4 linked regions of the Drosophila melanogaster genome follow. The protein of the gene in region 3 purifies or fractionates together with the protein of the main gene of each other region. This does not show direct contact. Each region holds a gene or a part of one and is shown on either strand. Other genes may lie near its edges.

Evidence for each region.
Region 1: the proteins of Vha68-2 (region 3) and Gfat2 purify together in Drosophila melanogaster (affinity purification with mass spectrometry, with the first as the bait; one large-scale study listed by BioGRID). This does not show direct contact.
Region 2: the proteins of Vha68-2 (region 3) and CCT6 purify together in Drosophila melanogaster (affinity purification with mass spectrometry, with the first as the bait; one large-scale study listed by BioGRID). This does not show direct contact.
Region 4: the proteins of Vha68-2 (region 3) and Pcyt2 purify together in Drosophila melanogaster (affinity purification with mass spectrometry, with the first as the bait; one large-scale study listed by BioGRID). This does not show direct contact.

The regions. Positions count from the first base shown.
Region 1 is NT_033777.3:28,335,547-28,343,751, reverse strand, and holds Gfat2 (Glutamine:fructose-6-phosphate aminotransferase 2), read left to right. Parts: upstream 1-3,986; 5' UTR 3,987-4,205; coding exon 4,206-5,882; intron 5,883-6,084; coding exon 6,085-6,459; 3' UTR 6,460-6,733; downstream 6,734-8,205. Other genes in the region: Moca-cyp, read right to left, coding at 1-617, 678-872, 943-1,069, 1,126-1,273, 1,333-1,472, 1,538-1,567, 2,293-2,380, 3,014-3,317.
Region 2 is NC_004354.4:15,743,473-15,750,870, forward strand, and holds CCT6 (chaperonin containing TCP1 subunit 6), read left to right. Parts: upstream 1-3,175; 5' UTR 3,176-3,298; coding exon 3,299-3,435; intron 3,436-3,835; coding exon 3,836-5,300; 3' UTR 5,301-5,499; downstream 5,500-7,398. Other genes in the region: CG8944 (uncharacterized protein), read right to left, coding at 1-951, 1,341-1,697, 1,848-2,570; Mvd (mevalonate diphosphate decarboxylase), read left to right, coding at 5,780-5,831, 5,893-5,963, 6,360-6,477, 6,538-7,398.
Region 3 is NT_033779.5:12,971,192-12,980,563, forward strand, and holds Vha68-2 (vacuolar H[+] ATPase 68 kDa subunit 2), read left to right. Parts: upstream 1-3,130; 5' UTR 3,131-3,252; intron 3,253-3,430; exon of another isoform or gene 3,431-3,555; intron 3,556-3,994; exon of another isoform or gene 3,995-4,032; intron 4,033-4,210; exon of another isoform or gene 4,211-4,278; intron 4,279-4,422; 5' UTR 4,423-4,445; coding exon 4,446-4,521; intron 4,522-4,934; coding exon 4,935-5,632; intron 5,633-5,740; coding exon 5,741-6,718; intron 6,719-6,785; coding exon 6,786-6,878; 3' UTR 6,879-7,416; downstream 7,417-9,372. Other genes in the region: Vha68-3 (vacuolar H[+] ATPase 68kD subunit 3), read left to right, coding at 7,709-8,857, 8,921-9,372. UniProt on the Drosophila melanogaster protein: Catalytic subunit of the V1 complex of vacuolar(H+)-ATPase (V-ATPase), a multisubunit enzyme composed of a peripheral complex (V1) that hydrolyzes ATP and a membrane integral complex (V0) that translocates protons.
Region 4 is NT_037436.4:1,550,659-1,557,890, forward strand, and holds Pcyt2 (phosphocholine cytidylyltransferase 2), read left to right. Parts: upstream 1-2,834; 5' UTR 2,835-3,238; coding exon 3,239-3,352; intron 3,353-3,419; coding exon 3,420-3,743; intron 3,744-3,802; coding exon 3,803-4,510; 3' UTR 4,511-4,657; downstream 4,658-7,232. Other genes in the region: Pcyt1 (phosphocholine cytidylyltransferase 1), read left to right, coding at 136-630, 820-1,143, 1,207-1,968; CG12099 (uncharacterized protein), read right to left, coding at 4,911-5,345, 5,405-5,559, 5,614-7,056, 7,131-7,224.

The sequences.
Region 1 (8,205 bases), on a different chromosome or scaffold from region 3:
GGCGAGCGTTGCTGACGACGAGCAGGAGATTGGCGACGAGGGCTCCGGGAACGGCTGCGCTTTGGCTTGGCCTTCTCCTCGGTGGGCTTGCGCTCATCGCGTTTCGCGTTGCGATCCTTGCTGGTCGATGGCTCCACTCTGATATCCTGCTTGCTTGGTGGTTTCACCTTCAACTGCTCCTCGTCCTCGGACTCGACTTCGGATTCTGTCTGCTGCTCGTAGTCCAAGGCGTTCATGTCCATCGACTTGCGGCGTTTTACAGGAGTCACATCCCTAGCCTTATCCTTCTCGCCAGCCTTTTCTCTCTCCTTGGCTTTACCGCGGTCTGCGGTGTCCTTCGACTTGGCTTTGTGCTCTGGAGAGAATCGATCCGGAGTTATTTTGCCACCGTAAGTGCTGGCATGGGATAGCTCGAAAAAGGACTGCTTAGGATTCTTTGTGGCCTCCTCGTGGCGACGCTTTCTCTCATGCTCGCGCCGCTTCATCTCCTCCTCGCGCATCTTGCTCTCCTCCTCAATGCGCTCCAAGTCGGACAACTTGATGGTGCGCTTCTGGGCATGCTTCCAGTGAGGTGGCGTAGTGCTGCGCGAACGACTACGCGACGGGGTGCGAAAGCGCTGTAAATGGTGTCATTTTAGAAATTGTGTGCGGAGTTACAAACAGTTTTATATACTCACAAACACTCCGCGTCCTTTGACAATGCGACCACTACGCGATGTAGGCGGTGCCTGCTTCTTTGACCAACCGAAATTGTTACGGCTGCGGTCTCGATCCTGATCTTTGCCTCGATCACGATCCTGCCCGCGTGCTCCACGCTCCTCACGATCCAGCGACTTTGATCGCTCTGCGCGCATTAGGAATTTGTTCGATACCTAAATACAGAAGAGTATAGGATGAAGGGTACATATTCAAGAACAGGAACAGAGAATCCACTTCAGTTACCTCTGGTATCTCGTTAGGATCTATCTTTGTAATTGTGACCAGCGGATGCAGTTCGCCTTCCTCGCGGTCCTCGTCATCATCCTGCGGGGTCTGGTCATGTTTTCCATTCCCGCGACTTGTTTCATTGCTGTACGAACGAAATGAAATGAAACAAATTACAAAATAACAACCACTATCACATACTCTTCGCTATCGCTTTGCGACTTCGTATCTTTGCGGCTGCGTTTTTTCTTCTTGGCCTTGCGCACGACCTTTGCTTCAGCCTCACTTTCCTCGCTGTTTGAATCTTCGGTGGCCGTGGAGCGCCTCTTGTGCTTCTTCTCCTTTTTGGCTATGTGACGAGAAGCATGTCAAGTATAATGGATATGCGAAAATGGATTACAGTCGTACCCTTTGTCTGTCTAACTAGTTCACCGCAGTTGGCAATGGCTGCATCCTGCAGCGGGCGTGAGTTCCGATCGACAGGCAAGCCCTCCAATTGGCGCACCAACTCCTGACCGGATATAACTTGGCCGAATACAACATGGATACTGCAACGAGAAAATATGACGCTATTAATCTGTTGATCTACTTAACGTGTTCAAAGCTAACTTACTTGTCCAAATGTGGCGCAGGCTGTGTTGTACTACAATGAGAAACAGAAGAAGAGAAAAATATTCTTTACACTTTGGCTAACTGGTTGTTGGGCTGCAGTAGGCAGTTGTAGTTGAAATCGGTGTTGTTGTTGTTGTTTCAGTTGTTGTTGTTGTTATTGTTGTCGGTTGTGGCGGAGACAATGTCATGTGCAACAAAGTTTAAAGGTTTCTAGGTGTGTAGGCAGAGGTGGCACACAGGATTTTGGCAAGCCACCAACCGCAAGAGCCGCTGCCGCTGGCCATGGCCAGCACATTGTCATCTGGCAGATCCATCGTGAGGATCCAGCCCAAGATTCCCGCAAAGATCCACAAGGAGCCGACAGCGAGAGAGAGAGAGATTGAGACACACACTGAGACCCAGGCCCAGGGACCAAAGACCATGGAGCTGAAAGACCTGCATCGTCTTTCGCTTGGTTTTTGGACCCACAGACCAAATGCACTAGGGATGCTGGGATGGCGGTGCATCGGCCGATGGAGGACAGATTGCGATGCATCTGTCCGCTGGTCAGTGGGACGCTAGCTCACACTTTAACGCCCACGGGCTAAGGCTAAATGGCAATAGATTAATGAACAACAACAGTGGTTTAAGTATAGATCAAAAAGAAGACGAAGAGAGTTTAGCTGTAATATCGGTGCCTGAAACAGAACTGAAACTAAATTTACGGCCACGTTAGTCCGGACCAGCCGGTTACGGTCCTCCGTCGAGAGCACTTACATAAAGAACTGCGAGCCATTTGTGTTCTTGCCCCGGTTGGCCATCGACAGCAGGAAGGGACGATCGTGCTTCTTTTCGAAGCTCTCATCTGGAAAGAGGAATCGGATTGTTTAAACCAAATTCACTTTAAATGTTACTTTAAAGCCCAAGAGAGATGAGCAACTCAAGTTATCTTCTAGATAACTTTTTAATGCGCATGTAATTGGATTTCCCAAAGCCGCTTCTATTTGCATATTTGTCCCATTTTCCACCCAAACGTATAATTAGCAATATGTAGATGTATGATGTGCACCATTCCCTTATCTTTCTAATGGAAATATTTGCCAAAATGTAAATTTAAATTGAGTCGCTTGAGTAAACATTTATTTTTGACATTTAAATGGGGCATTTGTACACTTTGGCTGGCATATCAAAAGCGTTTTAATTTTTTTCGACAAAGATTAAACTTAAGTAGATTATTGTAGTGCAGTTTAGATGTAATTGGCTGGAAGTTTTTAAATCTCCAAATGTGGGTGTCTGTATTTACAGTGTTTTTATTACATTTCTCCCCCTACTGACTCTTTATTAATTGCACTTTAAGTACCCTGTATATTCCCTTTCGTTTTCTGTTCTTCTTATCAGATAACCACTGTATTGATTTTTTCCCACACAAACAGCAGCACACACACACAAGCGTGTATGTATGCATGCAGGCATCGAATCGGAAGCCGGAAGAACTCACCCTCGAACGTCCCGCCGTAGATGGACTCGCCGCCGGTGCCGTTGCCCGCAGAGAAGTCGCCCGCCTGGACCATGAAGTCCTTGACCACCCGGTGGAATATCACACCCTTGTACTGCAGCTTCTTGCCGGTGATTAGGCCAAATCCCTTTTCGCCCGTGCAGAGTGCGCGGAAATTTTCGGCCGTTTTGGGCGCCACATCGTTGAAGAGCTCGAAGACAATGCGGCCCATGCCCAGGCCGCCCAGGGAAATGTCAAAGAAGCACCGCGGTCGCGTGGCACCCGCGTCGCGTTTGTTTACCGTCATTATATGCGCCGATTTCTGCCAATAAATGCTGTTTAATACGTATTTCACGCCGTTTTCGAGTTGCACAATGTCGGCGTTGCCAGCTCTACTCAGAACTAGGGATGTCAAAAACATACAGTTAGAAATATCGATGTGCAATATGCTTAGCATATTTTCGGGTATCGATATATTAATTTTAATATATATATTTTCTTAAATTTGTTAATACATACATATGTACGCTCAAATAAACGGTAAACTTTGAGCTATATATAGTCAAAATACACCATTGATTACTCTCAGCAACCAATAATCATTTTATGCTTTTTGGTATAACTTCCAAAACCTTTAGAACATGGGTTGAAAATATTATCTTCAATGCTCATATTTTTGGGAAAAACAGAATGTCGTTTAAACCAACTATGAAATGAGATCTGGCCTTTATGGTCATATTATATTAAGCTTTTTCAGACAATTTACACAGTTAACATCTTTGTATATAGCTTTAAAAGTTTATTATATTATTCAATACATAGTAAAAAAATAATTTATTAAATTACCGTTCCATCCCTGGCTGCAATACGGTCACACAAAGCCAATGTTTACATGGCAGCTCGCGTGTGGCTGTAGCTGTGTGCGTGAGCGAGAGCGCAAGAGCGGCGCGTGTGTGCGTGCGAGCGGGAGAGCAGGGCGAAGACGTGTTCTTTTCGCCGAAAAAGCAAATAATTGGGTTGGTTTATCAGAGAAAAACAAAAAAAATTCCAGCCAGTGTCGCGATAAAAACACGACAATCGCATTGCAGCCGCCTCAGAAGTGTAAGATCAGCCTCAGCTGACCGGAAAGTTAACATTGCGACGTGGAAAACCACGAATCACCAGCAAATTTCAGCAAAAGCAATCGCATTTCAGAATGTGTGGCATATTCGCGTACCTAAACTACTTGACGCCCAAGTCGCGACAGGAGGTCCTGGATCTCCTGTTGCAGGGACTGAAGCGGCTGGAGTACCGCGGCTACGACTCCACGGGCATAGCCATCGATGCGCTGAACTCTGGCGAGGCACAGTCCATAATGCTGGTGAAGCGCACCGGGAAGGTGAAGGTGCTGGAGGATGCGGTGGCGGAGGTGTGTCGCGGCCAGGACTACTCGCTGCCCATCGACACCCACATAGGCATAGCACACACGCGCTGGGCCACCCACGGTGTGCCCTCCGAGGTCAACTCGCATCCGCAGCGATCCGATGAGGATAATAGCTTTGTGGTGGTGCACAATGGCATTATAACCAACTACAAGGATGTGAAGACGCTGCTGGAGAAGCGCGGATATGTATTTGAGTCCGACACGGACACGGAGGTGATTGCCAAGCTGGTACACCACCTGTGGCAGCAGCATCCTGGCTACACTTTCGGCGAGCTCGTGGAGCAGGCCATTCAGCAGCTGGAGGGCGCCTTCGCCATCGCCTTCAAGTCGAAGCACTTCCCGGGCGAGTGCGTGGCCTCCAGGCGAGGCTCACCGCTTCTGGTGGGCATCAAGGCCAAGACCAAGCTGGCCACCGATCACATACCCATCCTGTACGCCAAGGCCCATCGGCCACATGGTCAGCCGCAGCAGCAGGCCTATCAACTATTGCCGCCCGGCGATTGCAACGCCGAGTTTCAACCGCTGGAGCGCAAGGAAGTGGAGTACTTCTTCGCCTCGGACGCATCGGCTGTTATAGAGCACACGAATCGGGTGATTTACCTGGAAGATGACGACGTGGCCGCCGTCAAGAGCGATGGCACGCTCAGCATTCATCGCCTAAACAAATCATCCGATGATCCGCACGCCCGCGAGATCATCACGCTGAAAATGGAGATCCAGCAGATCATGAAGGGCAACTACGACTACTTTATGCTGAAGGAGATCTTCGAGCAGCCGGAATCCGTGGTCAACACCATGCGCGGCAGGATGAGGTTCGATACGCAGACCGTGGTTCTGGGTGGCATCAAGGAGTACATACCGGAGATCAAGCGCTGCCGCCGCTTGATGCTAATTGCGTGCGGCACATCCTACCACAGTGCGGTGGCCACCAGGCAGCTGCTGGAGGAACTGACCGAACTGCCCGTTATGGTGGAACTGGCCTCCGATTTTCTGGACAGAAACACGCCCATTTTCCGGGACGACGTGTGCTTCTTCATCTCCCAATCGGGCGAGACAGCGGACACCCTGATGGCGCTCAGATACTGCAAGCAGCGAGGAGCGCTCATCGTGGGCGTTACCAACACGGTGGGCAGCAGCATCTGCCGCGAGTCGCACTGTGGCGTCCACATCAACGCTGGACCCGAGATCGGAGTGGCCTCCACGAAGGCCTACACCTCCCAGTTCATTTCGCTGGTTATGTTCGCCTTGGTCATGTCGGAGGATCGTCTCTCGCTGCAACAGCGCCGCTTGGAGATCATCGATGGCCTATCGCAGCTGGACGAGCACATTAGGACTGTCCTCAAGCTGAACTCGCAGGTGCAGCAGCTTGCCAAGGAGTTGTACGAGCACAAGTCGCTGCTCATTATGGGCAGGGGCTTCAACTTCGCCACCTGTTTGGAGGGCGCACTGGTAATCCATTTGATAATTTGAGCTATAATTTAATCGAATCTCATTTATGCATCGTAATGCATGCATGGGAACGTAATGATGGAAAATAACCGATGTCAACAATTCACTTAACTTGTTTATTTGCCAAGTGCACTTAAATTAATTATTATGTTTGTCCCACGCTTCATGAGCTGAATTTAATCAATTAACTTGCTCATTGCAGAAAGTCAAGGAGCTGACGTACATGCACAGCGAAGGAATCCTGGCTGGAGAACTGAAACACGGACCACTGGCCCTGGTGGACAAGGAGATGCCCGTGCTGATGATCGTGCTGCGGGATCCGGTGTACACCAAGTGCATGAATGCACTGCAGCAGGTGACGTCCCGCAAGGGCAGACCGATCCTAATCTGCGAGGAGGGCGACAACGAGACCATGTCCTTCTCCACGCGTTCGCTGCAGATCCCGAGGACCGTGGACTGCCTGCAGGGCGTGCTCACGGTGATTCCGCTCCAGCTGCTGTCCTACCACATCGCCGTGCTCCGCGGCTGCGACGTGGACTGCCCCAGGAACCTGGCCAAGTCGGTGACCGTGGAGTAGGCGCCCCAACTATCTGGCTAACTGGCTCGCACCGTCTCAAGAATTCCATTTTAGTATCTGCCTGAGAAAAACAAAACAAACCCTAGCACTTAAGTTAAAATTTTCTGGTATTTTGTCGGATCAAAATCCGAACCCTTAACCCATTTGTGCTCCTTCTGGCTGAAGCCACATATGTTTAACCCCTACATTTGTAGCTGTACTGACCCTTTGTGTTGTGGACCCACTACTTTTTGTGAATGTGCAATTGAAATATAATTATTTCCAGTTTTTCTTTAAAAGTGTTTTGCTGCTTTCAATTAAAAATGGATTGGAAAATGTTTAACCAGTAAATTTGTTTGAAAACGGGAAAAACCAAACAAAGATCTATATGTACCTCACTTTACAAAAAATGCTTATCTGACATTAAACATTTGTTTCAAATGTTTAAAAAACGAGGGCCACGTCACGTTATTGCTTACGTTATGTTAATCACGTTGTAAATTTTAGAAAAAGAAAAATTACATATATATTTAATTCTGATAAAACTAAATAAAAATAAATTCTGATAAAAATAAATGATATTCCGAGCACTTAAGTAGTGTGAAATCGATAAGCCGCATAAATTTGAATGTCCTATTTTCAATTTCAAATCAAGTGGTAAATGGGGAAAAAATAAGTTTGTTCTCGAAAAGTAATTCTTTCTGGAAGATATTTCAAAATCATATTTAAAAACAACATTAAATAAATTAAATCAGTTGCGAGCCGGTTGGGACATCTCTATTAACCGTAGCTATCACATCGGTCGATATCTATCGCAACGCAACGCAAACGAATTGAACAACAACCCTGCTCTTTTTCTTTTGGACCCGTAGAACCACATGTCTGGTAACCGATTTTGATTTTCGTTTCGGCGGTATAATGCTCCAATTAATTGACTAATTGCGGTTAATTGACAAGACAAGTGAACGGCGCAAGTACGGTGCAACCAATAACGCAGCGAGTGTGTGTGCAATTGCGAAAAAACCCGATAAATAATATTCGTAACGTTCTGCCCAGCAGCGCGTGAGTGAGTGCGAGCGAGAGGCAGTGATTCGAGGTGCGTAGTGGTGCGAAAGTGTGTGTGCAAGGAAACCCGCAAAAGCAAAAGCAAAGCAACAATAACAACACACGCACGCACACACACACTTGTGTACGTGTTAACACGCGGAGCGGAAAGTGCGTAGTGAACATACGAAACGTACGAAACAAGAAGTGGGAGAGATAGCGGAATAAAATACAATTCTTGTTTCCATTTCAATCTCCTCTGGTGCGTATTCAAATCAATCTGAACCTTAACTTGTGTATGTGTGTGTGACCGCGTGCATCGTTTTGAAATTCGAGGCGAGCTGCAGTCGAAATCAGCTGTTTTAAAAGGCCCGACCAGGGCGGCACTAACAGCAATGCAGGCCGTTAGCCGAGTGCATTGGATATTGCATAATATTGGGTGAAGCGAAAACAGGGATATTGTGGTAGGCCACAGGGTATAATAAAACCAAATTGTAGCTATAAACGCAGTTTCTTTTATTTGCACCTTTAATTCGCTTCGATTTCCTGTCGTATTACCGGTTACGTTCAACGCCATGCCATTACGTTGTACTCCAGTTTGGCAAGTGGGCAGCTCGCTTTGCGGCAGCCCTGGTCGCTTAGCGTTGTGTTGCTGCTTCCTCTTCCTCTTGTGTGGGGCAAAAATCTAACCTCACTTCTTCTTCTTCTTTGGAACACTGCTGT
Region 2 (7,398 bases), on a different chromosome or scaffold from region 3:
CGCCACAAACGATTTATTGCACTGCGGATAGTCGCATTTATAGCACCGCTCCCGCTCATCCTGGTGGACAATTCGATGCGCATTCAGGTGGCCCGGCGTGGCGAAACTGCGGCGACACACATCGCATCCATACGGCTTGGCAATGTCAGTGCCACCACCACCAGAACCACCACCACCACCGCCGCCAATTCGATCATCATCGTCGACCATGTCATCGGTTGCTTTCGCAGCGTGCCTCCTTTTGCGGCGACTGCCGCTGCCTCTGGACTCCTCGCCCTCGACTCCGATCTCGTCATCTCCCAGGCCGCCCTCCATGATGCTGTGATTAAGCGCCAGCGAGGGCAGAAACAGCTCCTCGTTATGGCGCCGCAGGTGCTCATCATAGTTGGCCTTCTCGCGGAAACTGGCCGTGCACAATTCGCAGTTGAACTTGATCTCGGTTACGCCGCCCAAATGCAACTGCTTGTGGTTATCGAACTCCTGGGCATTGTGGAACTGTATGCTGCAGATGTTGCAATAGTAACCGCCACCCAAACTAGGCTGGTGGGTGAGCATGTGGAGGTCCAGTTCCCTGAGTGTTTGCACTATTTCCGGGCAGTGTGCGCACTTAAATGGCGGAATGTCGTCGTCCATAAAGTGCATCTGATCGTAGTACAAATAGTTCGCAATGAATTTCTTGCCCAGCCTCTCGCTGTTAAGGCGCTCCATCTTCTGTTTGGAGTAATCGAATCGCAGCTGGGAAATGCGCTTTGATATCTGGATGGTGGTCACATCGATCAGCTGCTGCAGTTCAATGGCCATCTGATGGAGTCCCTCGCCGCGTCGCTCCTTGCTGCGGTAGTCGGGATCGAAGCGGTTGTAAAAGCACTGGTACCGCTTCACCATGCTCAGCAGCTTGGCAGTAGACGTATCGTTCCAAATGGCCGAGAAGCGGCGGCGATAGGAGGTTTCCTGTCGGAAGGATGAGAGTTATTGATTGACATTTGATAAGCCCCACAAAACTAACAACTTTGATTAGGCATTTACGAGTTGCATTCTGAGGTAGGAAGGAGGAGAAGAGGACTATTACTGCGCATATGCAGGAGAAATTCAGTTTAAAAATTAATTAGTGGTGTAGAAAAGTCAACCTTTATATTTTCAAGACATTAATTACGATATTAAAGTAAACGGAGGACTTGGTAGTCAGCCACCCAATCACGTCGCTGGATAAATAAATAAAGTCTCTACTCAAGTCGCCCACCTGTTTACGTTAATTAATCCGCTAACAAGGTTCCGTTTCAATCCACCCCCAATTCAGAGAAGCGGACGCATAGGATCGAATTGAAAGGGGAGCCACTAACCTTAACAACAGCATCGGACATCTTATCGTTGTAGCTGTATACCTCGTTGAGGAAGTGCAGCTCCTTGAAGTACCACAGCGTACTGATGTTGGTCTTCTCCAGAGCCATGCGATTGCACTCCCGCTTGTATACCGTGCGCAGGTTGTCCCACTTACGGGTGATGGCGTCCTTGGCCAGCGAGATGTTAAACCGGCTCTTGAACTCCAGCACAATCCAGTCGAGGAAGCGGGCGCGCTTAACGCGATCCCGGAACTGTGCATTGCCGTGGTCCCACAAAAAGGGGTTGCGCTGATACGAGTGGATGAGAAACTGGATCATCTTGCGGTCCTTGATGTGCATCGTAACCTCCCGGTCGCGCTAAGGGGTGGGAAAATGATAAAATCATTACAAATAGGTATATATGGATATTAGTGAAAATTAAGGGTGAAATAAATGTAGCTTTTAAATCGATGGGCGAAAATTTTAACAAAAATATCTGTATGTATATAGTATAAAAATATAACTTACTCCCAGCAGGGACTCCTCCACCATCTCATCATAGCTGAGAAAGTCCGATTCGGTTCCGAAACCACTGTGGTTAACGCCGTCGAATCCAGCAAAGTCCATGTACTCTCCGGAATTGTCGTCCATATAGCTGTGATCCGGATCACCGTAGTCGTCCATGGATGAATCGCCGTCACCGGCGATGAGAAGCTCGCTAGACATGTCCCTCTGGCGCTGCTTTGTGACCTTTTTGCGTGCCCGCGTCTTGGAACTGACCACCGGTACATCGCTTTCGGGTAATATGGCCTCGTCCTCATCGGCCTCGGAATCGTTCAGCCGTTGCTCATCGTCGTCTTCTTCGCCGGCGACCACATCATCATCGCTGCAGGGCAGATCCTGGAGCTCTTGTTTGATGACCATTTGGGGCTCCAGCAGCGCTGTGTCCGCGTCCGTTAAGTCTTCGATCTCGTGGAAGTTGGGCAGATCCCCATTACGACCGGACAGGGACATGGGCTCGCCGAGATTGAAGGGGAGACGGGAGGAGGTATTCGCCACGGACTGGTCGCCCAGGTGAACTGTCTGCATGTGGCCGATGAAGGAGTCGAAGTAGAGAAACTTCTCGCTGCAGAAGATGCAACGCAGGGCGAAGTACTGGAAGTCATCTGTGGCCGTCACCATGCCGCAGTCCTTGGTGCAGTGACGGAAAATCTCCTCGTCGTTGGTACGTGGATACGCCAGGACACTCATCGCGCCGCCTGCGGATCCTCGTCCTGTCCGGTTAACAATCAGAATTCAATTAAGTCTCTTGGTACTCTACGCTGCGGTCGGCGCACTCTAGTATTGTGCCTTATTTTGACTTGATTTTATCCCGATTTGGCCAATAAAAAAAAACTTTTTAGTGTTGGGGTTTGGGCGCACGGTTGCATTTCATTTGCTAATCGCCATCGGTGGTCGCAGGTGAGCCGATTAAATTGTGCGGCTTATTTTGCAGTGATTTAGCGGGAAATAGCCATTACTAGCGGGAAATATATTACCACCCTTAAGACCTTCTTTAATACTCATAATCATATAATCTTTGTAAATAACTTAGATATTAAGAATCGCTTAAATTGATACCGATTAAATTAAGTTGCCCAAGAAGGGTAATGGTACGCTAGTCAATAAAATAATTTCGTTTAATAAATTTAAATAAAAAAAAAGATATATATATGAAACATTTTTTAAATGTCATTTTGCATGTAAGCCACCACAACGAAAAATCTAATTAGAAATAAATAAAAGTGTTACAAATTGGAAGTGATTACAATACTATCGATTGTACTGCTTTGAAGTCTCTAGTTGTCTTTCCCCCATCTGGTCACACTTGCCATCTGATTTCTTCGATTCGCCTAACTTTAAGCGTGCTTGGATTTGTGCCGATTCCTATTGATTTATTTTGCCGAGCTAAGAAAATCTCTGTTTAATTGCGACACGCGATGGCTTCGATTAGCTTGCTGAACCCCAAGGCCGAGTTTGCCCGCGCCGCCCAGGCTCTGGCCATCAATATCAGTGCCGCCAAGGGACTGCAGGATGTGATGCGCACCAATTTGGGACCCAAGGGCACCGTTAAGATGTAAGTTACTAAAACCGGCCTCTAATATCCCTCACTTTGCGTTCCATTAGCAATTTGAGTGAGAATGCTAGTTTATAGGCGAAAAAACAAACGTTTTGGTCACAGCTGCGGCAACTGCAAGTTTGAGGTTAGACTGGAACTAGCGGCATGCGTCATCGCAAAAGAAAGAAAGAGAATGTTGCAACTCTGGAGCAAAAAGCTTAGAATTTAGGTGTTTTTATTTAATTTCAAAAAGAATCTTAAATGAAAGATGCCCCCAGAGGCTTTAATTTATTCATAAATGTGTGTTTACCTGCATATCCAGCACCGGGTGATTCAGAAAGTGGCATCGAAAGAGGCGTGACTTGACTCACGCGCCGTGAAAAGTGAAACAAGCATACTAATTCTAGAAACTTCGCAGGTTGGTTTCTGGCGCCGGCGACATCAAGATCACCAAGGATGGCAATGTCCTGCTGCACGAAATGCAGATCCAACATCCGACTGCCTCTATGATTGCCAGGGCCAGCACGGCCCAGGATGATTCCACCGGCGATGGAACCACCACCACTGTGATGCTTATTGGCGAGCTCCTGAAGCAGGCCGATATCTATCTGTCCGAGGGACTGCATCCTCGCATCATGACCGATGGATTCGAGAAGGCACGCGACAAGGCATTGGAGGTGCTCGACCAGGTCAAGGTGCCCGTGGAGATCAACAAGAAGAACCTGGTGGAGGTGGCCAACACAAGTCTGAAGACCAAGGTGCATCCCGCCCTTGCCGATCTGCTTACGGACGTCTGCGTGAATGCCGTGCTGACCATTGCCAGTGCCGATAAGACCAAGCCCGTGGACCTCCACATGGTGGAGCTGATGGAGATGCAGCACAAATCCGATACCGATACACAGCTGGTGCGTGGACTAGTCATGGACCATGGTGCTCGCCACCCGGACATGCCGAAGCGTTTGGAGAATGCCTACATCCTTACGGCCAATGTCTCGCTGGAGTACGAGAAGGCCGAGGTCAACTCTGGCTTCTTCTACAAGACCGCCGAGGAGCGTGAGGCCTTTGTGCGCGCCGAGCGCGAATTCATCGACCAGCGTGTGAAGAAGGTGATCGAATTGAAGCGCTCCGTGTGCGATGGCACCGACAAAACCTTCGTCCTGATCAACCAGAAGGGCATCGACCCCATCTCGCTGGACGCCCTGGCCAAGGAGGGCATCCTGGCCTTGCGTCGCGCCAAGCGCCGCAACATGGAGCGTCTGTCTTTGGCCTGCGGTGGCACTGCAATGAACTCCTTTGACGATCTGCAGGAGGAGCACTTGGGATACGCCGGTGTGGTGTACGAGCATGTTCTGGGCGAGAACAAGTACACTTTCGTTGAGGACTGCAAGAACCCGCTGTCCGTCACGATCCTGATCAAGGGTCCCAACAAGCACACGATCACCCAGATCAAGGACGCCATCAGGGACGGTCTGCGTGCCATCAACAACACCATTGCCGATAAGGCTCTGGTGCCCGGAGCTGGAGCATTCGAGGTGCGCGCGTACAACGAGCTGGTCGCCTTCAAGGACACCATCAAGGGCAAGTCCCGCCTGGCAGTGCAGGCCTTTGCCGATGCCCTGCTGGTCATTCCCAAGACGCTGGCCGTGAACAGCGGCTACGATGCCCAGGACACAATCGTCAAGCTGACTGTTGAGGATCGCCTGAGTCCCGAACTGGTCGGCCTGGATCTGGCCACCGGGGAGCCCATGAAGCCCGTGGATCTGGGCGTCTACGACAACTACATCGTTAAGAAGCAGATCCTCAACTCCTGTTCGATCATTGCCAGCAACCTGCTTCTCGTCGACGAGGTGATGCGTGCGGGCATGACGAGCCTCAAGGGCTAGTCCCCATCATTTCATCCGACCCATTCAATTTAACCAAGTTAATGCACCGCATGCTACTCAACCCGCGTCTCTCAAAGCCACACACAACCAAAAGAAAACTAAACACGTAAATAATTTGGAAACACATGAAATCGGAATGGTTGCGGCTGCAAGTATTCACATTTAAAATACAATTCTAATAAATACAAAAACCAAACACAGCTCTATGCTTAACGCTAATGTATTTTCTATTTTTATTAACACTAATGTTTACTCACTACAAACTTTCATTGGTTTAAAAATAAATGGAAATAGCGATTTAGCCGTGACTCAAACCTCAATATGGGCGGTAATTGGGGAATACCCACAACTACATTTTTTGGGGCCACATGGTATATTTGAAGAGTCCACTGGGTGGTCACACCGCAGTCAACAGTTGTCGCTTTCGCTGGAAAGCAGCTGAAAACAAGTGAATTTCTGAATTAAAAACATTTTCAAACATGTTTTCGGTTACTTGTGTGGCGCCCGTAAACATAGCGCTCATCAAATATTGTGGGTAAATTAATACATATATTATAAGCACATAAACTTATGCACATGCATTCCTTTAAAGGGGGAAAGCGGCACGAAGAGCTAATTCTGCCCGTCAATGATTCCATTAGCATGACTCTGAGCACCGATGAGGTAAATATGAAAGATATTTAAATATTTATTTGCGTTTTAAAACCAACAAATTGTAATTAAAAAATTAAAAAACCTTAGACGCTTTTAATAATGGTTTAAGTTTAAAGTGCGCGTAGTCGAAGTTTTCATTTTCTCACAAATGTAAATATTACGAAAACTTTCTATTTAATTTGGGAAGATCTCACGGATTTTCACTTTTCACCGATTCTCTCTCTTTCGATTTGTGTGGACACTGAATTTGCTTAAGATTAAAATGAAATTACTAACTTAAAAAAAATGGGTTTTTGAATATGGGTTGTTCGAAATCCTGTAATTTCTAACTTATTTTTTGAAATAGCAATCTATCGAGACTTTTAAAATCTTGAACAATTACCTTTCTTGATCCCATCTCCCAAGCTCTGCGCCAAGACAACAGTGACTGCATCGGAATCCTTTGAAACGAATCGCATGTGGCTGAATGGGGAGGAGGTGCCTTTTGAAGAGAGTTCCCGCCTGCAGCGCTGTTTGAATGAAGGCGAGTTTATAGTTATATATATAAAAGTATAGAACTTTAATGTAAAAAATGCACTTGCAGTTCATCGATTGGCTGTGGCGAGTGGCTCCCAGAAGGTTCCGCCAACCTGGAAGCTGCACATCGCATCGGTAAACAATTTCCCCACCGCCGCCGGACTGGCATCCAGTGCAGCTGGCTACGCCTGCCTGGTGTACTCCCTGTCCCGACTCTACGATATACCGCTGAATGAGGAGCTGACGACGGTGGCGCGGCAAGGAAGTGGATCGGCATGTCGCAGTCTGTATGGCGGTTTTGTGCAGTGGCATCGCGGAGCTCTGGATGATGGCAGCGATTCGGTGGCGAGGCAAATAGCTCCATCCGACCACTGGCCCAACATGCATGTGCTCATCCTGGTCGTTAACGATGCACGCAAGAAGACTGCCTCGACAAGGGGCATGCAACAGGCGGTGAAGACGTCTCAGTTGATCAAACATCGCGTGGATCAAGTGGTTCCCGACCGGATTATCCGATTGAGGGAGGCCATCGCAAGCCATGACTTTCAGGCATTCGCCGAGATAACGATGAAGGACTCGAATCAGTTCCATGCCATCGCCCTGGACACCTATCCGCCGTGTGTCTACATGAACGATGTGTCGCACAGTATCGTGTCCTTCGTTCACGATTATAACGAACGAATGGGTAGCTATCATGCCGCGTACACCTTCGATGCTGGTCCAAATGCATGCCTCTATGTCCTGGCGGAGCACGTTCCGCATCTCTTGAGCGCTATCCAAAAGGTGTTCCCCAATGATTTAGCGGATGGTGGCACCTACTTGCGAGGCCTTCCCATTCCAAAAGTGCAAGATGCTGAGAGCAGCAAGTTGGATTCACTAGATGTTCATGCTAAAAATGCTTTCAGATATATAATCCACACGAAAGTCG
Region 3 (9,372 bases):
GAAATGTTGCACTCCACGTTAGTAGGGAGTGAGTGGGGAGGGGGACGGGGGAAAAGGAGACCTCAACGCCTAATGCAACTGCAGTGAAATGGGGCATGGTGAGGGGAGTAAGGGGTACGATCGCCGAGGGACGAGGTGCGGTAACAGAAGGCCATAATCAAGCGAATGGACGCGAAGGACAACGGCTGCCACGATACTCAGTGCACTGGTAAAAATGGGAAGTACTTATTAAACAAATTGAGATCTATTAGATACCTATGAATATCCATTAGATTAATACAATAGTAATTCTACCCAAAATGTATATGTCAAATATTTAAAATGTGCATTCAAAACATACAAGTCTATCATTACCACTCCGCACTATTCACTTTAATGATATCTACATATTTTTAAGTACCATTGAGCTGATAAGCAGCTCGTGTTATCTTTTAGATAAGAAAATCACTAAACTGATAATATGTGCGCAATTTCATATGGTATTTATAATGCATTCAACGAAACTTTTACTGCAACTATCCACTTTCCACCATAAAATTTAAATAAATAAATGTCTGAGTATTAAATATTTTCTAGTGCACACACTCACACCCACATTCGGCACACACACACACACACACACACACATGGTAGTGCCATTGCAGTCAATTTATTGTGACCAATATTACGCCCGGACTGACTCGCCGGATAGCTCCCGTTTGTTGGTGCCAAGCGGGAGGAGGTGGGTGGCAATTTGGGAGGGGGGTGGTCGGTCTCACTGGGTGCATGTAAATTGAAAATTATGGCAATGCGCAACAAGATTAGCCAATGGCCAATGGCTGCTGGCGGTGCTGGCGGTTCCGAGCCTTCCTAACAAGACCCAAATGAATTTATCGAGATGGGCGGCGATGTGAAGGGGGACTCGCGTACCGCCCGAGTTGCACAGACATAAACTAAATGAATGCCCATGGCCGCCAAATGAAGTTATGACTTAATGTATACAGTTATCCATATATGTATCTATATGGAGGTCGAGCCAAACAAGCAGATAGCAGTCGAAATATCTCTCAGCGAGCATAAAGTTATTACAAATATATATATACATACATATGATATGCAGATTTGTGAGCAAAAGTTAGTACAGCCTGAAGCTCAAAAATGAATCAAAATCAGCGAACGGAAGCCAGTAGAACGCTAAATTATGATAATTTCATTTAATGCCTAACTGAACCAATAGTTTTCGAATATATGTATATGGCTTTTTGGAAATAGAATTGCATTTCTGTTTAATGAAATGGTCTAACAATCGAAGTTTTCGATGCTACAAGAATACATCTTAGAAGTTTTTCACACTAAAATGTTGCCAAAAATGCTGATTTCAATGCATACATATTTGTGATAAACACGACAAAGATTTTATCCAGGACACTGACATACTATGAAAAACACTGGAAAGTGGCCCAGGAATCGAGTGGATAAGGGTGCATATCCCAGTTTCGATGTGTCAAATTCATTCCACTTTGGCGCTCTGCACTCAGCAGAGTCAGTCGAGCACTTTTCTGCGCCATTTTGACACCGAATCAGAATCCGAAACACTCAGTCACTCAATCACTCACACACACACACTCTCACACACATACGCATACATCTGCAGTGAGGGGAATCCCCGTTCACAGGGCTGATAGAAATTTGCAATGAATCGCAGGCAGATCCTCATGCCACATGCACTGCTGCCTTATTATGCAAATGCTGCGACTCGAGATGCGCTCTCGCTGCCTGCCAACGTCATCGATTTATAAGTTATGCAAAGAGCGGGAGCCAGAACTCACACACCTACCCTCTGCCCCTGGCGTGTCCTTCGTATCCTTCGCATCTCGGGAACATAGAGGCTTTCGCTGTTCGACTTCTATGTTAGCATGGCTTTGCGTTGTAGTTGCCACTTTTGCTGACTGCAATCCGAAAATTTAGCTAAATCAAGCTGAGTGCAGCGACACTGAAAAAAAAACTAGCATGGACTCAAGAACTAAAATATTTAAATGAGGTTTTCTAGCCATATTATGATTTAAAAGAAGTACAATTATGTTGTTACACTCACATGTAAAATATCTAAGATAATAATATAATAAAAAACAAATTAAATGGTTAAGTTATATAAACATTAAACTTCTTATAAACATATAGTTTGGTTATGCGAATTTCTCAATATTTTCAATTAGCACATTCGTTTTCCTCTTTAAATAAGGAGAATCCACTTAAAGAAATCTGATAATCGCTGCATATTGTGCTATTTATTTTATGTTAAAAAAGTATATTCGCAAGAGCATAAAAACAATCTGATCGGGTTAATCTTAACTTTTTCGCTGCTCCATTCTCATTGATTACTACAGCACAAAAAAAAAGTGGGGAAAGCGTGGAATCCTAACTAGAAGAACGGAAGATAGAATAATGGATAAAAAACAAAGGGGCAGGGCAGCAAAAACTTAAATCATTGGCAAATACCTTTTTACGATGCGGATTTTAATCAAAGTTTTTGCCACCGCTGTCAGTTTCTTTTTTTTACTTAAAATGGTAATAAAAAAAAAAGGGGAAACGACGATAAATAAACATTTTAAAATAATTGCTAACGGCGTGTTGTTGCGCTTTAGTGAACTTATTAGTCTACCCTCGCACCGGCCAATTTCCACAATTGATTAGTTTAAAATTGCATTTTTTGGACATTTAAATGGGAATCTAATTGATTGCCATTTTTATTGAGAGCACTTAACACTATACAATGGCAGGTTTTGTATTTAAGCTATATATTCCTCGTTTATACAGTGTCAAATTAATTATTGATTTTATAAGCAGCTAAGAAAATGATTGTTTAATTTGGACCGATTGATCATCGAGGACTTAAAATGGACTTAAAATAATTGGATATTAGCAACTTTGAAAAGATCCCGTTTACTCCCAAAACTTCAGAATCAACCCACGAACTTCTTTAAGCCAGTGTGACCCCACCCGCTCTTTAGCTCTCTTTCGCTCCATCTCGCTTCCGCACATCGATTGGCGAAAGCTTCGCTCGCACTCGATATCAGCTCACAACTTCGCTTGCAAGCTCGCCGCGGAAAGCTCGCGATCACACGGGTCGAAATCGAAATCGAATCGCGGTAGAGAGCTTTTCGAAGTGCGAGCGTCGACGTTTTATTTCTGCGGCTCAGTCGGTTTTAGTTCGTTCTGTTGGAGAAAAGCAGCAATCACACGTTCGCAAGGTGAACGCGAAGACACAGCAAAGTAAGCCCTTCCCCCCCACCAACACACACACCCACCCAAAGCAAATAAGTAACAATAAATAATGGAATGGCTGGAAGACGGTTCTGGGCGATTTAAACAATTAGCGAAAGAAAGCGGCATTGAAATCCGTCTTGAATTCGCCCCGAAAAAGTGACGAAGCAGCGATCAAAGCGCAGAGCGAAAACACGCACACAGACTGCAAGTGTGTTAGATAATAAGTGCAGCACAAGTCCACACTTGAGTAAAATAATCCCTAAAAAAGCCGAATATCAATTAGTTTTCCAAGGAGCTTGAAAAAGTGCGGTATGAAAACGTGAAAATTTGCGCGTGGAAAATTATTTTGCCTTGTCAGCTGACCCCCTTCCCCGTGTTCGCTCCATCCCTGTCGCACCGCGGGTCTTGTGATCGCCGCCGCTCTTGCGCTCGCTTGCTCTCCCATTTCGAAACTCGAAACAGAAGTGGGAGTTATTCGTATTCCGATAATGAAAAACCAATATGGAGAACGAGCGACGTAAAAAAGGCGGCCCAAAGATTTTTACCATTTCCCTTACCCACTTTTTTTTCATTTGTCAGCTGACGGCAATGACAGTAGTCTTGTGATCAACGTCAAAAGCAATTGTCAAATATTCGAACTCGAATGGAGAGCGAGAGAGCCAGAGCGGAGAGTTGCTCTCCCACTCCACCCTCTCTTGTTTTTCTTTGCTGATAATTATGAAAACCCGCATATTTTGAAAAACATGCATTTCAGTTACATTCCTCCGTTGAATTTGTCAACCTGTGGTTGTTTTTTCACAGCTCTTATTTTATTTATTTAGCGATTAGTTTGACAAATTGCTCTCTTCGAACTTTCAAAGCTCTGTCACGTGAAACGAAAGCTCTGCTTTTAAAGTTTTACGCAGCATAATCAAAGAGGGGGAGTTAAAAAAAAAATAATTAAATCAATCGAAATTATTAGCTGCTAACCTACAACTTTATAACCTATAATCGAAAAATTTGGGAGCTGTGGGCTCTACAAAAACTTAACCTGTAAATGTAGCAGATACACCTGCCCCTTGTCAGCTGACAGAGGGCTGAGCAAGAAATTAGTGATAAGAAAATGTTCACCTTTATCTTCGCCCTTTTGCAGCCAGCATTTAACAATTTTCCTCTTCTATTTTCCCTCCATTGCAGTCGAAAAAACAGAATAAAGCAAAATGTCCAACCTTAAGCGTTTCGATGATGAGGAGCGTGAGTCCAAATATGGACGTGTCTTCGCTGTCTCCGGTCCTGGTAAGCACCTAACTATACTGACTAACCATAACTCATGCTATCTAAAAGTTAATAAAAATAAGTTAATAATACCTGTGAACTGGAAACCTTACTTTGATGATTAGTCTAGAACTTACACTTCTGTGTGAAATAATGGCAACTTTAGAAATGTGTCCACCTATTTGTGATTAATATTCAAACAACTCAAACATTTTGGTTTCATTATTCAAAATTAAATGTGAATAATTTTAATAATTAATTAATTGTTTCTTTAAACTTTTTTCTATAATTCTAACAAAAACATCATCAAGTATCATTAATAATAAAAAATTTTAAAAGAAAATGTTCAATGGAACCTATCTTCGTTTGCTGAGTTATAAAAACTTCTTGAATGAAATGTAGCCCCCCTAACCCGACCAACCGCTTCATTCCAGTCGTCACCGCCGAGGCCATGTCTGGATCAGCTATGTACGAGTTGGTCCGCGTCGGCTACTACGAGCTGGTGGGCGAGATCATCCGTCTGGAGGGTGACATGGCCACCATCCAGGTGTACGAGGAGACCTCTGGCGTAACTGTCGGAGATCCGGTGCTGCGTACCGGCAAGCCTCTTTCCGTGGAGCTGGGACCCGGTATCATGGGCAGCATCTTTGACGGTATCCAGCGTCCCCTGAAGGACATTAACGAGCTGACCGAATCCATCTACATCCCCAAGGGTGTGAACGTGCCCAGTTTGTCCCGCGTGGCCAGCTGGGAGTTCAACCCCCTGAACGTCAAGGTCGGCTCCCACATCACCGGAGGTGACCTGTACGGTCTGGTGCATGAGAACACTCTGGTCAAGCACAAGATGATTGTGAACCCCCGCGCCAAGGGAACAGTGCGCTACATCGCCCCCTCCGGCAACTACAAGGTCGACGATGTCGTCCTGGAGACCGAGTTCGATGGAGAGATCACCAAGCACACCATGTTGCAGGTGTGGCCAGTGCGTCAGCCACGTCCCGTGACCGAGAAGCTGCCCGCCAACCACCCCCTGCTCACCGGACAGCGTGTGCTCGACTCGCTCTTCCCCTGTGTCCAGGGCGGTACCACCGCCATTCCCGGAGCTTTCGGTTGCGGCAAGACTGTGATCTCGCAGGTGAGAGTCCCACAAATTGAGAATTTAAGGAGCGATGCCTCGTGTAGCCTCCATACACTCAAGTTTCATAAAAATACAATCCCTAATAAATCATTTACTTGCTTGCAGGCTCTGTCCAAGTACTCCAACTCCGATGTCATCATCTACGTCGGTTGCGGTGAGCGTGGTAACGAGATGTCTGAGGTACTGCGTGACTTCCCCGAGCTGTCCGTGGAGATCGACGGTGTCACCGAGTCCATCATGAAGCGTACCGCCCTTGTGGCCAACACCTCCAACATGCCTGTGGCTGCTCGTGAGGCCTCCATCTACACTGGTATCACCTTGTCCGAATACTTCCGTGATATGGGTTACAACGTGTCCATGATGGCTGATTCCACCTCCCGTTGGGCTGAGGCTCTTCGTGAAATTTCTGGTCGTCTCGCTGAGATGCCTGCCGATTCCGGCTACCCAGCCTACTTGGGAGCCCGTCTGGCCTCCTTCTACGAGCGTGCCGGTCGCGTTAAGTGCTTGGGTAACCCCGAGCGCGAGGGATCCGTGTCCATTGTCGGAGCTGTGTCTCCTCCTGGTGGTGACTTCTCCGATCCCGTGACCTCCGCCACTCTGGGTATCGTGCAGGTGTTCTGGGGTCTCGACAAGAAGTTGGCCCAGCGCAAGCACTTCCCCTCGATCAACTGGCTCATCTCCTACTCGAAGTACATGCGTGCTCTGGATGACTTCTATGACAAGAACTTCCCCGAATTCGTGCCGCTGCGTACCAAGGTCAAGGAGATCCTGCAGGAGGAGGAGGATCTGTCTGAGATCGTGCAACTGGTCGGCAAGGCCTCTCTGGCCGAAACCGACAAGATCACGCTGGAGGTGGCCAAGCTGCTGAAGGACGATTTCCTGCAGCAGAACTCCTACTCCTCGTACGATCGCTTCTGCCCCTTCTACAAGACCGTGGGCATGTTGAGGAACATCATCGACTTCTACGACATGGCCCGTCACTCCGTGGAGTCTACGGCTCAGTCTGAGAACAAGATCACCTGGAACGTGATTCGTGAGGCAATGGGCAACATTATGTACCAGCTGTCATCCATGAAGTTCAAGGTGGGTTAACACGCAAATTTATCCATTGCCTAGACACTGGGTGACCACATTTTTCAATCCATTTCAGGACCCCGTTAAGGATGGTGAGGCCAAGATCAAGGCTGACTTCGAGCAGCTGCACGAGGACCTGCAGCAGGCCTTCAGAAATCTGGAGGACTAGAGACCGCGCTGGCCCTACTTTTACACTCTAATCTTATATTTGTTATATAGTTAACGTTTAAAAATGAAAGCAGTCAAAAACCATCCGAAAAAGCCTAATCAAACACCAACAATTCCGTGCTGCATTCGATGAAAAACAAAAGTCCAACAAATACCACAACTTCTTGGTGCCTGCGAGAGATGTAAACATTCCGGCCTGCGGTTAATACTTTCCCCTAACCACGCCCCCTCCGCCCCTTGAAGGGCAACTCTAGGCAACAGCAACTACAACGTCCTGCTATGTACTTCCATTTACAACAACAACACCAACATACACTTGAATAAAAGTACACGGACACTGGCGCACACACAACACATACATAAAAGACACAAATACAAATGCATGCATAAATAGTATTATTGTTTAATGAATGGAAATTCTTGTTTATTTGTGAAAAAAGTCATGTTTTCTCCCTGTTTGTTTGTTAAATTTATGTAAATATTTAAAGTATGAAATATTAAATGTACGAATAAAGTGCAACAACAAATACATTTAATGTAATTGAAAGTGAATTTCACTGGCAGCAGAATGGATATTAAAAATGTGTCAACTCGATAAAAAGATAATAAGTTAAAATATTTTTTTGAATTTTAAACCTTCATTATATAAACATACTTGACTATATGAAAGCTAAGAAAATGGGAATATATTGAAAAGCATAATCTAAAATCCTATATCATTCTCAGTCATCACCTTAGTCTTTCCATAAACTTCTGCCCCATTTATTTTATTTATTTGACAATATTAGTAAAAATTGTACCAAGTGAAAAAATTGTATATATTTAAACCAAATGGAAAAGAAGTCCTGGGTTGCACCGCTTACCTCGTTCACCAACAGTAACGCAAGTAACGAAGACAGAGCCCGCAACTCGGGATCGTTAAACCAAGATGGGGAGCCAAGGTCCGTGCCTCACCCAACGGTTCCGGCTAAGAAGTGCACATGTCCAACCTGCGCTTGCCAACGTAATGACCATAAATCCAATCCGGTACCCCCTCCCCCTCAATCACGCAAGCCTGTAGCCGAGCCGGAAAGTCCCCATGATACAGTCAATGACGAGGACAGTTTGAAGGACTTGAGACGTTCGACGGACCAATCCCACAAGAGCGCTCACATCGCCTTGGAGAAGAATGAGGACTCGGGTTTTGTGATCGAGCAGGTGGTTGATACGCACAAATATTCGTCGGATGAAGAAGAGGAGGAGGCGACGATGGGTCGCATTTTCGGAGTCTCCGGTCCGGTGGTCAATGCCGAGGAGATGGCCGGCGCAGCCATGTACGAGCTGGTTCGCGTTGGACACTCCCAGCTTGTTGGTGAGATCATTCGACTGGAGGGTGATATGGCCACCATTCAGGTTTACGAGGATACTTCGGGTGTGAGCGTGGGTGATCCCGTCTACCAGACGGGAAAGCCGCTCTCCGTGGAATTGGGACCCGGCATCATGGGCAGCATTTTCGATGGTATCCAGCGACCATTGAGGTCCATCAGTGAACTAACCAACTCCATATACGTGCCCAAGGGCATCGATACGCCCTCCCTGCCCAGGAACATTGCGTACGAATTCACACCCGGAAAATTGAAGATCGATGCTCTGATCACCGGCGGAGACATCTACGGATCTGTTTTCGAAAACAGCATGATGCACGATCACCGCCTGATACTACCGCCCCGCACCAAGGGGCGCATCCGGTGGTTGGCCCCGCCCGGGAACTACTGCGTGGACGAGGTGATCGTGGAGACGGAGTTCAACGACGAGATCACCAAGCACACCATGCTCCAGGTGTGGCCCGTACGGAGGTGTCGTCCGGTGGAGGATAAGCTCCCCAGCAATTCACCACTCTTGACTGGCCAGCGCGTCCTGGACGCCTTCTTTCCATGTGTCCAGGGCGGAACCACTGCCATTCCAGGAGCGTTTGGATGTGGAAAGACCGTCATCTCACAGGTGAGAGGGTTTCTAAGAGTTTAGTTGACAAATGATTACATTCCAATCAACTTATACCCCTAGGCCCTGTCCAAATACTCCAACTCAGATGTCATCATCTACGTGGGCTGCGGTGAGCGCGGGAACGAAATGTCCGAGGTTCTTCGGGACTTTCCGCAGCTTGAGGTTGAGGTCAATGGCACCATGGAATCGATTATGAAGCGGACTGCCCTGGTGGCCAATACCTCCAATATGCCGGTGGCTGCCCGAGAAGCCTCGATCTACACGGGCATCACCCTCTCGGAATACTTCCGCGACATGGGCTACCATGTGTCCATGATGGCGGACTCCACATCTCGATGGGCGGAGGCGCTGCGTGAGATTTCCGGACGTCTGGCCGAGATGCCTGCCGATGCTGGCTATCCGGCTTACTTGGGAGCTCGGCTGGCCTCCTTCTACGAGAGAGCCGGACTGGTGAAGTGCCTGGGCAGTCCAGATCGTGAGGGATCCGTGTCCATTGTGGGAGCTGTGTCGCC
Region 4 (7,232 bases), on a different chromosome or scaffold from region 3:
GGGAAAGTAATGTAGAGCATTGATGGTAACCAATCTGTTTCTCGATCTCTTCCAGCTGAAAGTCAATTGAATCTCTGTTCCTCCGTCACCGCGTCGCGAAGCCGTTAAAACTGCCGCTCCCAAACATTCGCTGCGATGGCCACCTCATCGATACTCGCCAAAAGCACAATTAATAGCACATCGCCACCGGCCACGCCCAGCAGCAGCGCGTCCCCCGGCTCCACACTGACCACCCGGAAGCGGACCTACGAGATAGCCATTGCCATGCCCTCGTCCACCGCCTCCAGCAGCGCCACAAAGGTATCGGAAGTTCAGGATCAGCGCACAAACAGCCCCGGCAAGTCCAAGAGCAGGCCCGGCCAGCTGGAGAGTGTCTTGGTGGTCGGCGAGGGAGCCAGCGAGCCCACCACCTCGGCCACCACACTGCGGGACAGCACACGCACCATCTCACAAAGCGACGCCGACGATGGCGGCGAAGCGGCAGCCGCCGAGGACCTGCTGCCCCCACAGTCGGATTACCTCAACGGCGTCAAGCGGAAGTACGTCCCGCAGCAGCAGGCGTCGCCGAATCACCGGGTGGTGCCCGCATCCACCTCGCAGCAATTCTTCAGCGGGGCCTCCGATTTTGCGGTAAGTAGTCAAGAGTTAGGATGCAAAGTTAGTCTAAATCGTAGTAGCTGAAATCGTTTGAAATTGATGTTCGAGTCGTGAGTCGTATATTTCCGACGATGTGTGATAAGATCGAGAAAGAATGTGTAGACCAAGGACACAATCGTCCAGTTGAATAGCCCAACTAATCGGGAACTTTTCTTCCTGCAGACAATTTGCAAGCCGGCGCCCTACTCTCACGACGAGGAGGCCATGCTGGAGCGGGATAGATGTGACTACACTCAAAGGATCACCTACCAGATGGCCCGCTCCGGACAGACGACCCGCAGGGTGAGGGTCTACGCCGATGGCATCTACGATCTTTTCCACCAGGGCCACGCCCGCCAACTAATGCAGGCCAAGAACATCTTTCCCAACGTGTACTTAATTGTGGGCGTGTGCAACGACGAGCTCACCCACCGCATGAAGGGACGCACCGTGATGAACGGCTTCGAGCGATACGAGGGAGTGCGTCACTGCCGCTATGTGGACGAGGTATGTTCTGCCCGGCACTGATTAGAGATCTTTCAGTCTATAGCATCTTACTCTGTCTTGCAGATCGTCCAGAATGCGCCATGGACTCTGTCCGATGAATTCATCGCCGACAACAAAATCGACTTTGTGGCCCACGACGACATTCCGTATGTAACCGATGGCATGGACGACATCTATGCTCCTCTCAAGGCGCGCGGCATGTTTGTGGCCACGGAGCGCACTGAGGGTGTGTCCACCTCGGACATCGTAGCCCGGATCGTCAAGGATTACGATCTGTATGTGCGTCGTAATCTGGCCAGAGGCTATTCGGCCAAGGAACTCAATGTGTCGTTCCTGTCCGAGAAGAAGTTCCGGCTGCAGAACAAGATGGACGAGCTGAAGTCGCGCGGCAAGCGCGAGCTGAGCAAGGTGAAGGTGGACATCATCACCAAGTGGGAGGAGAAGTCGCGCGAATTCATCGACACCTTCCTGCTGCTGTTCGGACGTGAGAACCTGAATCATTTGTGGAACGAGTCGAAGGGCAAGCTGCTGCAGGCACTCAGTCCGCCGGGCAGCCCGTCGGGATCAGTGAACGGTGATGACACGGAGGGCGGCGAGGACTACAGCGAAACTATTGACGAGTACTTGGAGATGGCCGAGAAGTTGAGCGGGGGCAGCGGCAGCGGCAGCAGTGGATCGCTGAACGGCAAACAGAGGCCGAAGCAGAAGCGCTCCTCGCTGGCCCGCCGCAGTTACCAGAGTCTGCAGAGCCAATCACCCGACTTGGAAGCGGATGGGGACGAGGATGCGGATGCGGATGCGGAGTACGAGCGTCGAAGCAATTGATTCTATTGCGGGGCAGCCCGATCTTTTCTTCTTCTCTTAATGTCTTTAATGCTATTGTAAATGGACTTGCTTGCAACTAGTTCGACGGCACACTATAGATGCCCCAGGATCGCCACGCAGGCTCCACGAACACACACTTATATTTACTCTAGCCCTAAGTGGTATTGTAATCCCAATGTTTTAGTTGGCACTCGTTCTCCTCCTGCCTCAACTCCACCTGCCCATCTCCATCTGTGAGAATCGAGGGAATCCTGTAGCTAATTTAGCTGTGTGTGTGTGTGTGTGGGACAAGCAACCACCAACGCGGAAAAGACTCATTTTTGTATTAGGCACTCGACGGACTGTGCACGAAATCAATCGGCAGTGGCGGCAGATTCAGGTGCCGAAAATATCTAGAAATATTTATATTAAATTATTTCGCATAACATTAAACTAAGTTAACAACACCGCAACCAGAACACCAACCAATATAGAGAAATCCAAACAAACAAATTACGAAATACATTCGGAAAATGCAAAAAACAAAAACAAGTAATTAGTAACAGTTGGCAATAGCGGAACTATTGCAAATGCTTTGTTAAATATTTTTTGAAAAATAAACATTGAATCGAAAGGAAATAGAAGTAAAGCGAGTGGCTTGTGAATCAGTTTGCTATCTCATACGTTTATCCAGCAATTGCGCATCCGATTCAGCAGCCATCCATGGCACTGCTGGAATTCTTGAGCGCGCGCCACCGATGATGATGAAACCGTTTGCCTTGATTGGACACCCATTCCCTCGCAATTAGCTGCCCATTCACCGGCTTGAAGCGGTTCACTGATTTGTTTAATGGCGCTGCGGTTTATATATAGATGCGCACCCATCGCCTGATCGAATCGGCGGACCCGTGCCAAGTCAGGCGACCGACCCGTTGCTTCCTATTTGCTTGCGCCGCAATTTGCGGCAATTGAAGATGAGCGATGAATCCGAGCCAGAGACTTGGGCCTGAGACTGCTAGAGCCGCCTCCAAGTCGTGTGCCTCGCCAGCCGCTGGACTCAATTGTATTGATTCGCCACCAGTTGCCGCCAATTTATTCTGATCGCAGCTAGTGCGCAGTTGGGGACATCTCTCGCTCAAAGTCTCGGACTCAATCCTCGACAGAGTAGACCTAGAGGGTTATGCCGGTTCCGTCTCAATTTATGTAATCAGTCGTCCGGATGAAATCCCCTTGAGCGGACCACTAGTGCTGTACTTAGTTGTGTATACTCGTACATATATTTTTATAAGCAATGGACAGAATGCCGAAAGAGGACGACGAATCTCCAGTGTCGACGGCTCCTGCCACACCGACATCGCCGATGGAGTTTAAGATGCTACCGCTCTTTATGGACTTTGAGGATTTTGTAAGGCTACTCCTTAGAGGAACAGGAGTTGCCACATACTAATCTCTCTACCCCAAAACGCCTCCAGAGCATTTGCCAGCCTGCTCCTTTCTCGTACGATGACAAGGCCATGCTGGAGCTCGAGAGATGCGACTACACACAGAGGATCACCTATCATATGGCCAGAGCTGGGAAGACGACGCGCAGGGTGCGGGTCTATGCAGATGGCATATATGATCTGTTCCACCAAGGCCATGCCCGCCAACTCATGCAGGCCAAGAATGTGTTTCCCAACGTCTATCTCATCGTCGGCGTGTGCAATGATGAGCTGACCCTCAGGATGAAGGGACGCACGGTTATGAATGGATTCGAGCGCTACGAGGCGGTGCGCCACTGCCGCTACGTGGATGAGGTAAGTGTGTTAAACTGAACCAATGAAATGTTTCTATACACTTTTCGATCCATCACAAGATCGTTCCGAATGCTCCGTGGACGCTAAATGAGGAGTTTATCGAGGAGCACAAAATCGACTTTGTGGCCCACGATGACATACCCTATGGAGCTGGCGGAGTCAACGACATATATGCTCCACTCAAAGCGAAGGGAATGTTTGTGGCCACGGAACGCACTGAGGGCGTGTCCACGTCGGACATTGTGGCCCGAATCGTGAAGGACTACGATGTATATGTGCGCAGGAACCTGGCCAGAGGCTACTCAGCCAAGGAGCTCAACGTCTCCTTTCTCTCCGAGAAGAAATTCCGTCTGCAGAACAAGATGGACGAGCTGAAGACACGAGGCAAGCGGGAGCTGACCAAAGTCAAGGTTGACATCATCACCAAGTGGGAGGAGAAGTCGCGCGAGTTCATCGATGCCTTCCTGCTCCTGTTCGGCCGGGAGCGGCTTAACACCTTCTGGAACGAGTCCAAGGGCCGAATCATTCAGGCACTCAGCCCACCAGGCAGTCCGAATGGCTCCGTAAACGGTGACGATCCAGACGCAACAGACGACTTAGACTCTGAGGATGAGTACATGGAGCTGCCACCAGACTACGGGTCTGGTAGTTGCGTATCCCTTAGTCGAAAACAAAAGCGCCCTGATAAGGTGAATGCCTCAGCAAACCTCAATTACTCGGAGCAACCAGAGCATAAGGATGTCGTAGACGAGCGACGCAGCGACTAAAGACGAATTTGGCCTCTTCCTATCAATTAAAACATAAATAAATATGTTTGAAGTTTAATGGAACAGCGCAGTAGGCACTTTTATACATATTTAAAAGAGCTACCAGAAAAAGTATGCGCTTAAAATACATTCCGATAAATTTCAGTTAAATTATGAATATTTCTTTTGGCAAGAAAGTAAAAAGGCGTTTATTTGATATTTTACTTGCTGCCTTTATTGGTTATCTTATGTGTATTGTGAATATAAGTTGGGTTAAATTATAGATTAGCTGAATGATTTTCCAAATCCTCTTCAATGATAGAACAATCGCATTTGTTATTTAAAATAACGTTGAAATATTCGCATAAAAACAAAAATACAATAAATCTTGTAACTTCATAAGCGATCATCATCTAGCTCTTCATGGAGCTCTGTTCATGCCCGTGGCGAACAGGGGAACCATCTTCTTGCCCTTGGCCTTCTTTTGCTTCTTCGATTCCGCTGGAGCTGCTCCATTGGATTTTGCTGCTCCTACCTTTTGCTTTTTCTGGTCCAAGGCTCCAACTAAAAGTTCTCCCAGACCCCAGTGGCCCACAGATCGCTGCTCAAAGTCCTCATCGCTGGTTCTTGGGACCATTACAGCCCGTGGCGGCGGTGGAGCTGAACGGCCCCAGGCGCCCACTTGAACATCCAATGGCGCGCCACCACCTCCAGGAGAATTACTTCCAATAGTGGGCCACATCTCCTGCTTGGGACTTCCCAGAGTGACACTGGAGTATCGGGAACCGGGGTCCTGGTTGCTGATGTTCATGGGCACAGAGCCACTGGGAGCGGGCAAAGCCTCCTCGAAGCCGCACTTTAGATAAAATATCACATATTAATAATTGACACTAATGGCAGGCATTGCTAGCTCACAGTGGGAAACTCATGGGAGGAGCTTAGGTCAAGGTTAGCTGCACTGGCAATAAGTTTGCCCATCTGGCGGTCATTTATCTCGTTGATGTGCTGCTCTCGCTTGCGCTCCTCGCGATCCCGACGCTGTCGTTCCTTCTTACGATGAAGAATGTCCTCTGCGGAAGGAATACATATAAGCATAATGCTGTACATGGACCTAGTGGACTTACCCTTAAAGAGCTTGAGTATTCCTCCAGTGACCACTGGCGGCTGCAATTCGACTTCCACAACCGAAAACTGACAAGTCAAAGGCAAGTGGCCAAGACAAGTGAACTTGCGTCGATGCTCCTCATCCATAGAGTGCTGTTCCATCTGCACGATTTGGGCTTCGATGAGTAGCGGACCCAAGTCCAAGGTGCCGTAGCAAGCCTGAAGCATCTTCACGTTCAAGGGATGCAAGTAAATATTCTGTCCGTCGTTTGACTGGTAGAAATAATAGTATTTATTATGGTTGCTCGAGTAGCTAAGGCTGCTGGATGCTTCTCCCGACGAGATGGAGGCATCGTCTGACTTCTCAATATCAATCTTGGTCTCGGTTTCTAGGCAAAGTACAGGTGCTGTCTCCTCTTCATCCTCTTTCGGATCAGGTTTCTCGACACCCAACTTCTCAACACGCTCCTGAAGCATCACCAGCGCTTGCTGGATGAACACATCCTCGGGACAGGAGACATCCGATTCGGCTAGCAGTTCGTTACGCTCCCTCTCGATGATGGCGGCCACATCCATCCGCTTGGCTATTAGAAACTTTGAGTAGCGTTTAGCCTCTTCACCAGCGGACACAAAGGGGAAACGTTCAATTGTTTCGCCCAATCCTGCAACATGATTTTCAATGTACATGGAGCCCTTGCGACGCCGCATCAACTGGAAGGTAATCTTCTCGCCCACTTGCAAATCCCTCAGCTGTTCGATGGTGCAGCTCTTCAGATCTCCCGCGTGGATGGCGTCATAGCAGATAGGACACTTGCGCCAGGTCTTGTCGCTCAGCGAGAGGTAGTGCAGCAAGCAGGGCCAACAGTAGGCGTGTCCGCATCTGGTGAGCTTGGCAGCCACAGGCGGGTACAGGCAGATGGGGCACTGCAACTCCTCAGTGGTCTGTATGTTGATCTGCTCGATGTAGCTCCAATCGATGAGTGCATCCGGCGAGCCATTAACCTGAGCCTTTGCACCCGATCTAATGACGAACTGAAAGTTGGCCTGCAGGAACTGCTCCTTGTTGTAGCGCTGCTTTCGGCCACTCAGGCCGTGGTGCTGTTGGGCCTGATGGTGATGTCCTCGCTCCAGTTCCCTGGGCACGCAGTGGAAGTTAAGCAGATGGTTCAGATTCTGCTTCTTGCTGCCCTGTGTATACACAGAGTTCAGTTCATGGTCAAAGTCACCGCTACGTGAGTAGCCGGTGGCGGAGTAGGCTAGTCGGGAGCTGCCTGAAGCCCCGTCCTGGCCACGGGGTGAAGGGAAATCGTAACCGCCTCCAAACCCGCGAGCCTTCGGACGCTTGTCCACATTGGGACGTAGCTTTGCTGGCTGCTGTGGCTGTTGTTGCTGATCGTTGCGCGGTGTGGGAACCTGATTCCTTCGACGGCTGTGTCGCTGCTTGTTGCTGTTGGTATGTAACTCTGCGGAGGAGAAGGTTGCACCAATATTAAAACCTTTTCGGGATATAAAAATATCAGGAGAATGGAGCACCCACCACTGGACTTCCTTTGCGATTCAGCAGACGAGGACTTGCCATGATGAGAGGATTGAGGCTGCTTCTTGCTGTTGCTGCTGTTGTTGCTGTCCATCGTTGTGG